3 linked regions of the Mus musculus genome follow. The protein of the gene in region 2 purifies or fractionates together with the protein of the main gene of each other region. This does not show direct contact. Links are inferred from orthologs where the notes say so. Each region holds a gene or a part of one and is shown on either strand. Other genes may lie near its edges.

Evidence for each region. The genes of interacting proteins can lie anywhere in the genome.
Region 1: the proteins of Rela (region 2) and Pml purify together in Homo sapiens (affinity purification with western blotting; 3 studies listed by BioGRID, with this or other methods). This does not show direct contact. The link is inferred for Mus musculus from reciprocal best matches to the Homo sapiens genes RELA and PML.
Region 3: the proteins of Rela (region 2) and Rnf182 purify together in Homo sapiens (affinity purification with western blotting; 3 studies listed by BioGRID). This does not show direct contact. The link is inferred for Mus musculus from reciprocal best matches to the Homo sapiens genes RELA and RNF182.

Annotation. Positions count from the first base shown.
Region 1 is NC_000075.6:58,246,734-58,251,885, forward strand, and holds the start of Pml (protein PML), read right to left. Parts: upstream 3,054-5,152; 5' UTR 2,958-3,053; coding exon 2,808-2,957; intron 706-2,807; coding exon 242-705; intron 1-241.
Region 2 is NC_000085.6:5,636,104-5,641,054, reverse strand, and holds the start of Rela (transcription factor p65), read right to left. Parts: upstream 3,515-4,951; 5' UTR 3,221-3,514; coding exon 3,214-3,220; intron 3,092-3,213; exon of another isoform or gene 2,935-3,091; coding exon of another isoform or gene 2,907-2,934; intron 2,624-2,906; coding exon 2,597-2,623; intron 2,505-2,596; coding exon 2,353-2,504; intron 2,201-2,352; coding exon 2,052-2,200; intron 1,197-2,051; coding exon 1,105-1,196; intron 753-1,104; coding exon 621-752; intron 1-620. UniProt on the Homo sapiens protein: NF-kappa-B is a pleiotropic transcription factor present in almost all cell types and is the endpoint of a series of signal transduction events that are initiated by a vast array of stimuli related to many biological processes such as inflammation, immunity, differentiation, cell growth, tumorigenesis and apoptosis.
Region 3 is NC_000079.6:43,613,765-43,618,849, reverse strand, and holds the start of Rnf182 (E3 ubiquitin-protein ligase RNF182), read right to left. Parts: upstream 3,054-5,085; 5' UTR 2,783-3,053; intron 1-2,782. UniProt on the Homo sapiens protein: E3 ubiquitin-protein ligase that mediates the ubiquitination of ATP6V0C and targets it to degradation via the ubiquitin-proteasome pathway.

The sequences.
Region 1 (5,152 bases), on a different chromosome or scaffold from region 2:
TTAAGACATCTAAAGTTCGGTGGTGACACATACTAAAACCTACTGTTTTCACATATCACTTGCAATGGCACTCTGAAATTTTTTCATCCTAAAGACAAACTAGGTATGGGTGCAAAGATGACTCTGAAGCTATATATAATATTTCAAAGGGTCATTAGAAACGACTATAAACCAGCGGAGCCCATTTTGAGTGACAATTCCCTGAAGCTTTCACCCCCTGACTCCAGGATGCTCCACTTACTCAGTCAGCGCAGGGTTGCGGTGGTTGGTATTGGAGCAGAAGATATTGGACTTGCGCGTACTGTCGAGGAAGCTGCTCACTGAATTGTCGCGGAGATCAGCCAGGGGCCGGGCCTCATGCTTGAGGTACCACTGGTGTGCTTCGAAGCACTTGCTGCAAATGAGCTGTTCACACTCGAAACACCAGAAGTCGGCCAAGCCTTTGCAGCGGGTGCACGCAGCCTGAGCATCCACGATCTGCCGGAACACCGCCAGGCGCCGCTGCAGGCTCTCGAAGAACACGTTATCCAGGGCCTCCCCATTAGCATCGGCCTGCCCAGGAGCCTTGCAGATGGGGCACTGCAGGCCAGGCGCCTCCAGGCATCCGGAGCACAGCGTGTGCAGGCAAGGCAGCAGTTTGGGGCACTTGGCTTGGGCCTGGCAGCTCGGGCAGCGCAGAAACTGAAATTCCTCCTGTATGGCTTGCTAGTGAACCAAGGAGAGAAGTGAGGCCTACAGAAAGCCCAGACGTCTTGTCCCCTCCACTGGCCGCCCATCCCTTCAGCTGGAGATTGGAGAGGGTAGGACCTCACATTCCATTCCTGGGAGTCATTGGATCATGTCCTGGCTTATCGGCACCCCAGTTCCTCATTTACTTCGAGCCTTGCAGCTCTCACTGCACAATTTACCGGGCACCCATCTGCTTATCATTAGACTCACTAGTAGGTCCTGAGATACAAGATAGGATAGATACATCTTTGCATTTAAGGGACTCAAGTTTGGAAAAGTATCAACTTCATATAAAGTGCTTAACACAATTGGCAGGATGACCCTCAAAAAGTTAGACTTAAACTACCGTATGACCAAGCTTCCACTTTCCATATATATACTCAAAAGAACTGGAAAAAATATCCAAGCATATAATTATATACTAATGTGCCTAGCAACACCCCCACAAAAGTCACAGTGACCCAAGTGTCCTTAGCACATGAACGCATGAACAAAATGTGTCTGCAAATGTAACAAAATAGTATTCACCCTGAAAGAGGAATGAAATCCTGATACATTCAACAACCTGGATGAACCTTGAAGACATGGTGAAATAATATGCCTGCCATAAAATTAGAAATATTGTGTAATTCCAGTCATGTCATATAAAATAATAATAGTTAGTTCATAGGTATAGAAGGTGGAGCTACTGTTCAAAGAGCTCAATACCATGGTGCCTGGCACATGAGAAATACCCATAAGTCTAATCCCAGCACTCAGGAGGCAGAGGCAGGCGATTTCGAGGCCAGCCTGGTTCACAAAGTGAGTTCCAGGACAGCCAGGGCTATACAGAGAAACCCTGTCTCGAAAAACCAAAAAAAAAAAAAAAAAGAGAGAGAGATTGAGAGAGAGAGAGAAGTACCCATAAATGTCAACTAGTATTTTTAATCCTTAGCTATATAATGCTAATAATAAAAAGTTAGGGCAATGTGACCTTATTTGTGTTTTTTGTGAAGGGAAAAATGAGTGAAGAATAATGGGATGGAGGTAGTTCCTTCCAGGGTGAGTATGGAAGGTTGAGGCAATACTCCCAGGAAGGCCATGAACTAGGCTTCCTTAGGAAAATGAGCTTGGTGGCGCATACATTAATCCCAGAGCTCAGAAGGCAGGCAGGTGGTTTCTATGAATTTGAGACCAGCCTGGCTTACAAAGCAAGCTCCAGCCCGGCCAAGGCTACAGAGTGAGACCCTGTGTTCCAAAAGATAAAATAAAATAAATCCCTAAACCTCATACACATAAAATAAATTGATGAAAATCAAAAGAGAAAGCAGCTGTGTGAATCCTGTTGGTCTTAGCAGGCACTTTGGTCTGAGCCAGGTTCTGTCTGTTTGTTTGTTTTGTTTTGAAACAGGTCTTGCTGTGATGCCCTCAGCGGTCTTGAACTCTCTTTGTGGCCTAGGCTGGCCTGGAACTTGTCATCCTCCCTCCAGCCCTACCATCCCAAGCACTATTGCTCCTGGGATGTGCAACCACAGCTGAAAAACGGGAAGTGTTGGTGTGGGGGTCAGGGAGGGCGACTATAGTTTTGCCAAGTCTGGGACATGCCTTTAGCTCCAGGCCAGAGCAAATAAGACTCCTGGCCAGGCCTTCCACAGGACTATAGTCTTTCATCTGAGGTAGGCGCTTCAGGCAAGGCTTCAGGGAGTAGGAGTTACAATCCAACTATCCCCAGTTACAATCCAACTCATCCCGGTTTTTTTTTTTTTTTTTTTAGACAGGGTTTCTCTGTGTAGCCCTGGCTGTCCTGGAACTCACTCTGTAGAGACCAGGCTGGCCTTGAACTCAGAAATCCACCTGCCTCTGCCTCCCAAGTGTTGGGATTAGAGGTGTGCCCCACACCGCCGGGCCCCTGTTCCTATTTTACTCTAGGCTATCAGTTCTACCTCTGCCCAGCCAGGAGGGTCAGGACCTTGGTGTCTCTTTAGGACACTAACCCATTAACTTACTTCTCTATAACGACCTTCTTCATCCTCAACTCCTCGACCAAAGTAAACGAATAAAAAAACCTAATAGCCCTACACCTTCTAACCCAGTAGTACCTCTGCAGGGCTTTGGCTGTGTTCATAGTCTTCGGAGGGTTCCTCTGGGGGAGGCATGGTGGGCGTGGGGGTCAGGGCAGAGTCCTGTTGTCGACAGGGAGATCCAGGGGGTGCAGGTACCTTCTGCACGGAAACTGGTTCAGTTTCCATTTCTTGATTAGGTCTGTGAAGGCGGGAAATGGGTCTCAGATCTGAGCCAGAAAACTGAGCGAGAGATTGCCCGAGGAGAGCCCGCCTCCCGAGAGGAAGTGAGACAGGGCTGGGCGGGTCTAGGGGCGGAGAGGCTGGTTCTATAATCTCCCTTCCAAAGTTAAGAGAAAGACTAGGGAGCTATGGAAGTAACTCTGGTAGAGTCAGAAAGGTTAACCAAACAAGCAAGTAAACAAGCCCGGCATGCGGGCATGGCTCATTAGCAGAACAAGGAAAGATCCGGCCACGTACGCAGCATGCACACCAGGAGAGAAACAGAGCTGACAGGCTTTTCCCTGTCTGTGAGCTATTGGACTCATTCCACAGCTATATGTCTTTCTAGTTAAAAGCCAGGTAGAGAAATAAACTCCTCTTTGAGAGAGCCTCCCAAGTGCACCCTAGTGGAGACTTCGACTCAGTACTGGGATGGGTTTGCCTGGAAAGGCATCCCTCAGCTGAGAATGGAGCATGAGATAGAAAATGACCAGGAATTCAGAGCTGCTCAGACATTTTAAAGAGAGACAAACACTTGGAAAGGAGTGGAGGTCTGAAACAGGAGAGCCAGTTTGGGAAGTAGTCAGGGCCATTTTCAGATTTAAGATGGGGCTCCTGCGAAGTGATACCAGAGAAGATGAGATGAATCATACGGTGAGAAATGGACCGATTCTACATATGATCTGAGAGTTGGTGAAGGGTTTCTTACAGCGTGTCAGCTGCGTCTCTTGAATGACCTTGAGGCAGGTGGCCTATGAGAAGTAACTGTGGGACACAGAGTTAGTTCTGAGTCAGTGGAAGGACCGTGGTGACAGAACAGCGTTGAATGGGTCTGATGACTGTGCATCGTACAGAGGTAGACAACAGGGAGGCAAGGGGAGAGCTGGCCAGCAGTGGTGAAGAAAACAAGAGATACAAAGTTAGCTTTTTGACCAAGAAAAAGCAATCCAGAAACTAGTGGGTGAGGAAAACACACACCTGCTGACACTCTCATTGGCCAGTGCCTTTGGCTTCTAACTTCAGTCTGTTCCCACCCACTTTTCTGGCCCCTATGTGCCTATTCTCTGTTCCTATGTGAAACTGATTAAAAGGGATGGTAACAGGTTCCTGCTTTTGTAAACTTAGAGTTGTGGTGAGATGGGTTCTAAAGGGAGACCCAACATCCTGGAGACTGTGGAGGCCATACATCTAAGCTGACCAGTATCCCTTGGCCTTTAAAATTAGCCCATCAAGGGCTGGAGAGATGGCTCAGCGGTTAAGAGCACTGACTGTTCTTCCTGAGGTCCTGAGTTCAATTCCCAGCAGCCACATGGTGGCTCACAAGCATCTGTAATAGAATCTGATTCCCTCTTCTGGTGTGTCTGAAAACAGCTACAGTGTACTCATATAAATATTTTGAGTAAATATTTTAAAAAATTAGGCCAAGATCAGTTATATTGTGTACAAATATTTGTGTTTTCTTTCCTCAATTTTTTAAATTATGTGATGTAACATCTATTAATAGAATGTCAATGGTTATCATATTGAAGTCTGAGATACTAATAGAATGTTTCTAGGGGGCTGGTGAGATGGCTCAGGGGTTAAGAGCACTGACTGCTCTTCCAGAGGTCCTGAGCTCAATTCCCAGCAACCACATGGTGGCTACAACCATCTGTAATGGGATCTGATGCCCTCTTCTGGTGTGTCTGAAGACATCGACAGTGTACTCACATACATGAAATAAATTAATTAATTCAAAAAAAAAAAAAAAAGAATGTCCCTCAAGGGACATTGTCATCTACTCTAAATTTTTTGTTTGTTCGTTTGTTTTTGTTTGTTTGTTTGGTTTGGTTTGTTTGTTTTTTGTTTTTTGTTTTTTTTTTGGTTTTTCAAGACAGGGTTTCCCTGTACAGCCCTGGCTGTCCTGGAACTCACTTTGTAGACCAGCCTGGTCTTAAACTCAGAAATCTGCCTGCCTCTGCCTCCGAGTGCTGGGATTAAAGGCGTGCACCGTCACGCCTGGCATCTACTCTAAATTTGCAATGCATTTGCAGTTGTATGAGGGATAGTTTTATCTGGTTAGGTGTAATTATAACATGGTTAAATATAATGTGTTTGTAATTGTATGTCAGATAGTTATATCATGTTTAGGTATTATTATGATTTGCTTAATGTTTTCACTT
Region 2 (4,951 bases):
AGGCAATTCCCGATCAGTCTCTCTGCAGTACGGGTAGCATGGCTCTAGGTGAAGGGACACTGAAGGCCGGATGTCCCTGTTCTCCAGAGATCCTCCAGTCCAGAGGACACACTCTGACCACACCTGCCGCCCTCCACCTTAGCGGCACAGTTTCAGCTTTCGGTTCATCCCGCCTCACTTCCAGTTAGTCCTGGCTTCCGGTTCTTAGGACTCTGAAGCCCTTTGGTTTTCCTTTAATTTACCCTGCTGCTAAAGACTGCAATCCATCAAAGTCAGCCAGGTCATCTGAGAGCTTCCTGGGAGCTGCTACAGCTGAATTCCTGCTGTCTAGAAGGATCTGGTCTCTGAGAGCTTGTTTCCTAAAGTCCTGAGCACAGTTCTTGGCAGACCAGCTTCCCAACCCCAGATATGGGAAGCAGTCACTTCCCACCAGGCTCCTGGGCATCCTGGCCGCTTCAGTCACAGGGCAGCTCTGGGTCTTCTCCACCCCACCCCCTGCAGCACAGCTGGAAGGCGCTGGATGACTGAAGGAAGCCAGAGCTCTTCTCCCAGGCCTCACCCACCCGGTCCCCATTCAGTTCCCAAGCCCGCCCTCATCCCTACTGCAGCCGGCCACTTACGGTTATCAAAAATCGGATGTGAGAGGACAGGGGTCAGGAGGAGGGGCCTGCCTGCTGGGTCCCGCACTGTCACCTGGAAGCAGAGGCGCACTGCATTCAAGTCATAGTCCCCGCGCTGCTCCTCTATAGGAACTGTCAAAAACAAAAAAACAACAAAAACAAAAAACAAAACACTGTGGTGGAAGGCATTGGGGGTGGGGGAGGGGGGACGGGCCAGGGAGCTCTGAGGAAAGAGGAAGGTGATTTGAGGAGATGTAAAACAGAAGTCTAAGGGGAGGAAGACCCTAGATCCATCACGGCTCTCCAGGAGCCCTCTCTAGGCCTGACTCTCAACGGCAGAGTGTGAGTGTGTGCCAAGCTGGCAGCAAGGTTCCACTCCTGCTGCTGGGTTGGCCATGGAGGGAGATGAGCGGCAGAGGCCCAGGGAAGGTGACAGAGATACTTGCACCACACGAAGATCAATGTCTTTGCCCCTTGCTCCTACCGTGAAAGGGGTTATTGTTGGTCTGGATTCGCTGGCTAATGGCTTGCTCCAGGTCTCGCTTCTTCACACACTGGATCCCCAGGTTCTGGAAGCTGAGGCCTCAGGTATTAGTTTTGTGTCTCCAGCAGAGCCCCTTCTTGCCTCCCAACTCCACAGCTCTCAGGTATGTCTAGGCTTCCCACTCCTTACCCACTGGCAAGTCTCTGAGGGAGCTGGCCCTCGCAGGCCTCCAAGCCAGTGCCCCACCTCAGCCACAGGGGCTTCCTTTCCCAGACCTAAGCACACGAAATGGAACGTACTCCCCTTCCAAGGGCATCGTACTGCTTGCTTGCTTGCTTGCTTTTTTTTGTACTTCTTTCTCGTGCACGGAATGTTCTTTTGGGTCTGTCTGCTTTTTCTCACCATTTAAGAGTTAGCACAGAGGCCTTCTGTAACCCTCCAACCCAAAGTCGTGAGACCTGTGCAGCAGGACACGGTGCTACATGCCTATTCCCCTGGAGTTGAGAAGAGGAGGCAGGGGAACCCTAACGAGTTCAAGGCCAGCTTGAGCTTCCTGAGACCAGACTCCTCCTCCTAATTTATAACTGTGTTTTCTTTCCATCATGGAAGTTATAATTCTCTACCAGTATCTCGTCTATCTGTCTGTACAATTATCGCCTGGTTTTACCAACTGGTATTTAAGCTCTAGGAGGGTCCATTTGGATATCTTTCTGATCCAAGAGGCTAAGAGGCTGGCCTGTCCAGCCATAGGGTTTGTGGCTCTAAGAAGATAAGGAGTTCCCAACTGTTAGAGAATTCAAGACAAAGGAGGTCTGTTTGCAAACTGGAGACAGAGTTAAGAACTCTGGATTCTGCCTGTGTTTAGAAAAGAGCAACACTGTAAGAGCTGCCTGGCCGGCCTGCTCCTACCCTGCCCTCACACCACCCCCAGCCCATAGGGAACTCACCTATGGATACTGCGGTCTGGGCAGAGGTCAGCCTCATAGTAGCCATCCCGGCAGTCCTTCCCCACAAGTTCATGTGGATGAGGCCGGTGAGGTGGATCCTTGGTGACCAGGGAGATTCGAACTGTTCCTGGTCCTGTGTAGCCATTGATCTGTCCAAAGTACAGAGTACTCTAGTGGCCAGCAATCCCTAATCTGGCTCTTAGACACAGGGCACGGTGACCAGGAGGCAAGTCTGCTGGGGCTGCACAGTGCGTTCCACCACATCTGTGTCCCAGCGACACCCCTGGGGGCTCTTGCTTACCTTGATGGTGGGGTGTGTCTTGGTGGTATCTGTGCTTCTCTCGCCAGGAATACTGCCCGCTGAGCGCCCCTCGCATTTATAGCGGAATCGCATGCCCCGTTGCTTCGGCTGTTCGATGATCTCCACATAAGGCCCAGAAGCCTGGGCTGGCTCTGTGGGTGACACAGTCAGCCATCAGGTGCTATCCCCACGGCCCCGACTCCAGGACAGCCCCTGACTACTGAGGATGGATGGTCCAACTTACCTGAGGGAAAGATGAGGGGAAACAGATCTGAAAGGGAAAGACAAGGCACATTGTCAATAAACTCCAGTGCCCACCCTCACCTGCGAAGGCCTGACAGAGCCAAGCTCCCTCCCTTCCAAGAAAACTGAGCCAAGACCCTGAAACCTGCCCTGACAGAGGCCGGGGAACTAGAGAAAGGGGACACAGAGGCATTCCTTTGCCAGGGGAAACTGAGTCAGTGCCTGTTTTACGTTCATAAGTGACACTGAGGAGGGGGTAATACCCTCCTCTCCTCTTCTGGGGAAACTGAGTCAGATACTTTCTTCCTTACACGGAAAGGAAGCCAGAACTAATCGCATCGACACGGGGGTGGGGGGAGCCGGAGGAAACGGAGTCAAGATTCACCCGTACCCCCACCCAGGAGGGACACTGAGTCAAGGCGCCCTCCACTGAGAGGGGTAACTGAGTCAGACCCCCTCGCAGCCCGCCCCGCCCCGTGCCACCATCCGGCCTGCCGCTCCCTGCGCAGCAACCCGCGGCGCAGAAAGGGGCGGAAGACGGCGCGGGGAGGGGGGAGATTCCGCCGCAGGCCCCGGAGCTCTAGGGCAGCCATCCCCCGAGCCAGAGGGCAGCCTCACCGTCCATGGTCAGGGTCCCGGGGGCGGGGCCGGGGTCGCAGCTGAGCCCACGGCGCGCTAAAGTAAAGCCATTCGCCAGAGGCGGAAATGCGCGGCGCGCGCCCGTCGTCGCGTCACTGCCCGGAATCCGGCCGCGCCTGCGCGCTGAGCCGCCGCCACCGCCACCGCCGCGCGTGGGGGGCCGAGAGCAGGTGCGCGACTCACGCTGGGCGCGGAAGGTGTGCGGCGGGCGCGCGGGCGGGGACACCGCAGCGCGGCGGGAGGACGCCGAGGCTGTTTGTCCCGAGGCCGGCCCGACTACAAGCTCCGCAGCGCGGCTCGCTCGGGGTCCCGGTCCCGTTCCCGGCCCCGCCTGGAGGGCGGGCCCGCGATTACTCACTCTGTTTTTAGGGGATTTCGGGTCCCGTTCCCCGCCCCGCTCTGATCTCAGGAGTTTGGTGATGTCACCCTGGCCGGGACTGGAGCCGAGCCAGGGCTGGTGGCAGGCTGCGGCCATTCGCCCTGCGCAGGGAGAGGCCCAGGCCTGCTGCTCCCGCGGAGGCCAGTGACTGAATTCCACACGTTTTCCTAAGCGTGCAGGGGCCTTCTGGGGACCCGCGTGCTACGGGCCACATGCTCCCCAACCTAGATCCGGCTGCGCGCAGGAGTGCTTCGCGGAGCGAGCGTGCTGCATCCGACAGGCCTTAGGGTAGAGGGGCAGACCGAGGACTAGGCAGACACCTGTACCTCTAAGAGTCCCTGAGAGCCATGAGTGCTGGAAGAGCCCCAGGGCTTCGTCTGCACACATAGGTGCTGTCTGCTAAGGTTTAGATCTTTAGGGATCTCCGGAACCAGCTAGGGTCACACCGTGAACATCTCCTTCAAGGCCTCCCAGGAGTCCAGGCTCCAATGAGGAAAGCGTTTGTAGGGAGCAAAAATTGCCATCTAAGCCAAGGGCAGGTGTGCAGATTGAGTGTGGGGACTCTGGCCGGAGGACGCAACACATCAGGCTGCCTCCACTATGCCAGAAGGAGGAGGCGCCTCCCGGGCCACAGGAGGTTTCAGCACTCAGAGAAAGACTTATTTTCTCTAAATTAGGAAATCATGTGGGAATTGGAAAAGATTGGAAATTCTGAATTGCTTTCCCAGGCTCTGAAAAAAACAGGAAGACAAAAGTGAAAATAGTTACGCCCCTCCCACTCATTTCAGTTTCTCACTTGGCGCAGATTAGAAAAAGCAGTTTAATATTTTGCGAGGGCGGATGTCAAGGCGACAGAATGAATATAATCTCCAATTAATGGCACACAGCCATCATTGGTCCTCACATGAACCACTTGTAAAAACACATATAGTTACAATTTAAGTTAATATGAATACCAGCGTCCTTACTAAAAAGTAAAGGCTAGAAATGAGAACTCAGTAGTTTTTGCATAACGTTGCAGGAAGCTGGGATTTGATCTCTGACTCCAGGATGCTCCAGTAATCCCAGCGCTCATGGGGTCAGACGTTCAACGTCATCCTCCTCTACATAGTTTGAACCCATCCAGAACTACAGAAGATGCTCTTTAAAAAAGGATGGTTGCAGGCTGGAGAGATGGCCCATCAGTTAAGAGTCGATAATGCCCTTGCAGAAGACCAGAGTCCAGTTATCAGCAACTGTAACTGCAGCTTCCGGAGACCTCACACTGTTCTGGGCTCTTGAGAGCAACTGCATTCACATGTGCACATATATACAAAAATAAAAATAATAAAATAAAAT
Region 3 (5,085 bases), on a different chromosome or scaffold from region 2:
TGATACCTTATATTTATAGCATCTTGCCTCGAGGTCTCAGGGTTGCCTTCTCTCCAGCCACATATTGAAGCCTAAGTGTCTGAGTAATGAAGTCATTAAGAACCGATCGTCCTTCAGCAATGTGATTTTATAAATGCTACCACACATTGCACTGGATGCAATTGTGCTATCACAGTGCAACCAGAAATTGCAAGAGAATGATGGTCCAGAAACAGGAAAGGGAGGGAGGCTAAGTGGCTTTAGACTGCCAGGCAGGATTTAAGGTTACAGACAACTGACACTCAACAGCACGACAGTAACAACAATTTAAAGTTAAAATTCCTTGGCTTGCTTTGGTGTCTTTGAATATATTTGATACACATGAAGAACAGAAATCCCAGGTGGGCCAACCATACCATCATTTACCTGACTGTGTTTTACAACTTAGACCAAAAACTAAGGCCAGTTTTTCTTTGTAAAATTCAGACTTTTAAACCAGGATCTGCAATAAAATAACAGGCACCCTTGAGAATCTTGAAGAGATGTGACCAATCTTTCACACCTAAGGGCATACTTGCTTCCCCCAAGTGGCTGATCTGAGTCAAGTTCCAAGTCCCTAAGGTATGTTTTTTGCATTTCCTACTACAATAGTACAGCTGTCCCCTTACCCATGGTGGCTTTAGCCCTGGTGGTAACTCAAGAGTCCAGGAAGCCAGTGATATATGTAATAGTGAGACCACGTTTCTGTAAGCCACCTAATACAGTTAAGCAGTCAGTGCATTCAATCTGTAGCTGTTTATTTCTGTTTACTTGTTTTATTTTGGAAGGAAGAAAAAGAAAATGGTGCTGTTTGAAGACGCCAAACTATTGAATCTTGTACCTGCAAACAGGAGCCCTTATCTTGCCATCGTAACACTAAGCAGCTCTATGCTTCAACACTCTAATTGTGAGCCACAACTGCCCAGGCTAGAATTCCCAGTGTGGGTTTCATATAGCTACACGTACAGAGTCCTTGTACTTGAATGTTAGGATTGCTGACAAAGAGCTAAATAAAGCTGCACTCCTGGTACCTTAGAAAGAACTCAAATTGTATTTTTAGTACCAAGCAACTACATTCTGTGACTATGTAATGCGCCTTCGGTTTTTTGATGGTCTGACTGCCTCTCGGGCTGAAATGAGAAAAAGCTGATGATTCTCCTCCTCTGCTTCTCTTCTCCACCCCGCTCTACTTCATTCGAATCAGGCTAGTGTTTCATTGCCTTCATCAAGGAGTATTTAGTACAGCATCTGTGAGCCGCGCAGCAGGTAAAAACTCGGTTTCAAAACAACTGTGGAAATAATCTGAAAATTACTGCAGTGTAAATCCTTTAGTTTCCAATACAGGCTTATAATGAAGTGGCATTACTCAAAATTGTTGGCACATGAGAACAAGCTTAGGAACCCAGCAATCAGCAAGCTAACAGGTGTTGGAATCCCAAGGGGGTTGGGGGATATTAAATAATCACTCTGGGATGGCACCTCCTGTAGCTACAATACCCAGAATTCTAATCAAGTTAACCACAACTCAAAATAATCAGTATTACTGTTTCATTAACTATAATATGAGCTAACAAAAACAAAATAGAGTTCCTTTCATTCCATAAAACGTTCTCTAACCTACTTAAACATGATTTTTCTAAGTTGAGTTATACAACTTAATCAGGCGGGTAATTTTCCAGTTATCAACACAGCATCTGTCCCCAATTAATAAAATAACATCTGCACATGTATAATATCCTTAACTGATCACCTGTAACCCGGAAAAGCATGTTTTCTTTCTCTCATAATAGTACATATCATTTCTAGTGCTCTCCCCCCCCAAAAAAGTCTTCACTATCACATTTAAAAATTTTGTGTGTGTGTGTGTGTCTGCAACAAACTATCACGAAATGATCTGCTGGCTTGTGGCCACTGAAAGGGACTGGTACCCACAACTTAAGCAGTTTCCTATCAGGTATCCCAATGCCCTTGGCAACTGCATCTCAGTCCTTGCCAGCACACATAAACACTGATGCAAACACTGCCTGGACACCTGCCTCCGAGGATGCTTTGGATGGCTCCCTTGCATAAAAACACAAGGCATTTTCCACTTGCCTAGAGCGTGAACACAATATCTTCCCAAAACAATAGCAACGATGTCTGTGCCAAGTATCTCCCCAACAAGGTACTGGTCCAGCTAACAGCTCTAGAAAGGCTAGAAACGAGCCCGAGCACTCTTTCCCACCATGCAGTTCCAGATTCAGATCCAAAACCCAGAGGAACTCCAGATACCACTTCTAAATGCGTGGACCACAAGCGTCAGAAGGAGCTGACTTTTCAAAGATTTGTGTTAAATTTAAAAAAGAAGAAGAAGAAAGAAAGAAAGAAAAAGAAAGAAAGAAACCTCTCATTTGCTCCTTGCACCTCCTATCCTATTCTGTAAGGAATTAACCATGAAACACAAAAGTCCTGGGGTAATTTTGTTTCCTTCTTTTCCTCCTAAAGGCGAAGGAGAGAGGTGGAAGGAAAAAGAGACACCTGGCAGGTGGGTATGGCTCGGCCCGCCCCTCAACTTGGTCGGGACAGATCAGGCGGTGTCGAGGGCTCTGCGCCCGGAGCGCGGCCCGAAGTTTGCTACGGGTGCTGGGCTCCCGGGGCTCCGGGAGGCCGTGACGGTGGGTGGCATCAGGGTAGCCCCGCAGGGCATCCGGTGCACACCCCGCAGCGGCTGGACCCCGCGCTCGGGGGACCCTTCCTGGGCCGCGCGGACTGGCGCGCGCCTTACCTGACCAGCGGCGGGGGCCGTGGGAGGACGGACTGGAGGATCGATGGGAGGATCGAGAGCCACTCCGGCGGCGGCGCCAGGGATTGAGGGAGGCGCGGCGGAGGAGGAGCTCGGGAGCCGCGGGCGGGCGGGCCGCTTTGTCTCTACGGCGCACAGCCGACCCTACGTCACCATGGCAACCGCCACTGCCGGGGCCGGCCGAGAGCCTGAACCCCTAAGGCACCACGGTCCGGGACCCCGCCAGCCCTGAGACCCACGCCCTTCTTCTCAGCAGTTGGGTAGTGTGGAGGAGACAAGGACCCCACCCCCAAACACCCGGAGCCACTGCCAGTGTAGACACTCCCGAGTCTCAGAGTCCCTTGCCAGAGACAGGAAGGCTCCAGAGAGCCCTAAGCCCAGAGCCAAATCTTATTGCAGTGCAGGCTCTGCTTTGCTTTCTTACTCTGGACATTCCAAAGCTCTAAGGTCCCCGTCACCACCACATCTTTCTTTTATGAAGCTCTGCCCTCGAAACGGAAATTCACTTAAGGGAGAAGAAAGGACAGTACAAAGTGATAAACTATCACTTTGAGCAACTGGTACTCCGTGCTCCTGTTGCGGCTGCTGCATCAGACACCACCACCACCACCACCACCACAATCACCACCAACCAACCGCAACCTTTGCCTCTGCTGCATTTCTGGTCTCCCACAATCAAGCCAAGCACCTGCCTTGCCAGGGGCTCCCGTGGGAGGGAAAGGGAGCCTTGACTTCTGATGATAAATACGAGATGTTAAACCGCAACTTTTACACACAGGCTTCAGTGTGAATGTGAAACACTGCCACACTGCTTAGGGACGGATTACAACTGCTAAGCATCCACCATGGGCACCAAGTGACAGAGCCACCGTCTAGCTGCATACTGCCGACCTTGACCCTTAGGAAAGCAACTAGGCTCCCTTGGGAGTCTAGATAGCCTCTCCTGAGGAAATTTTTGGAGAAAGAGGGAAAAGTACCAGCAGGCCTTGGGTCATGCTTTTTTTTTTAAAGGACAGAGCTAGAGGGCAGCTCCCCTGGGTGAGTCACTCCTCTATACTATGTTTTCTTGAAAGTTCAGTGACTAAATCCAAATTCTACAGTGTCTTCCTTTGGACCTCAAGAGCAGGCCATGGACTGTCCTGGCATTTGTGAATCACCAAAGAAGTCCCATTAACATGCTAACTAACCCCCTGGAGAGCTATTGTTTTCTGGGCTTTCAAGCTGTCTGAGAAGGACACACCGAAACAACAGCATTACTGAAAAACAAAACAAACAAACAAACAAAGACGTTACCGATAGAGGAGGCTCCATGTATTAACTTATAAAAATAGAAGGTCCATTTTATGTACTAAAATGAAAGCATTTCACTCCTAAGGAAGGTTGCCTACTTTTTTTTTTTTAAATAAAAAGATCAGTAGGTGGGGGAGGGGGGGTGCACGCCTTTAATCCCAGTACTTTGGAGGCAGAGGCAGGCAGATTTCTGAGTTCCAGGCCAGCCTGGTCTACAGAGTGAGTTCCAGGACAGCCAGGGCTATACAGAGAAACTCTGTCTGGAAAAACCAAATAAATAAATAAATAAATAAATAAATAAATAAATAAATAAATAAAAGATCAGTGCTTCCAGATGAAGTCAAGAGAACGAAATCTTTCTGTCACGCCATTAAGTCATTTGAAGATATGTATCAAAACTCAAAGTGCATGTATGTTTCTCCCAGCTATCTGAATCTAAGAAATGTTACACAGAAACCCATGAATAGATAATGAGAGCTATGCAAGAGTGCAACATACCCCCACTTTTCTACCAGCAAAAATTTAAAACAAAGTATATGTGGACCAACAGTGATCTGGTTAAATTAATTTGGTACGGTTGCACTGTACCAAATGTTGCCACTAAGAATAAATTTAAAAATAAAATAAATTAAAAATAATAAAACATACAATAAATACATATTCAACTTCCTGTTGAAAGAACAATGTTGTGGACACCTGCAGTACAGCGCCATAGTTTTTGTGAGATTGTATTGCAGTTGCTGTTTTTATTGAGTGACTATTATTCTCTTTTCCATCATCAAAAACCTCAAATACATGATGTGTAAAAAATACAAGCGGGGCTGGTGAGATGGCTCAGTGGGTTGGAGCACCCGACTGCTCTTCCGAAGGTCCAGAGTTCAGGTCCCGGCAACCACATGGTGGCTCACAACCATCCATAACGGGATCTGACTCCCTCTTCTGGAGTGTCTGAAGACAGCTACAATGTACTTACATATAATAAATAAATAAATCTT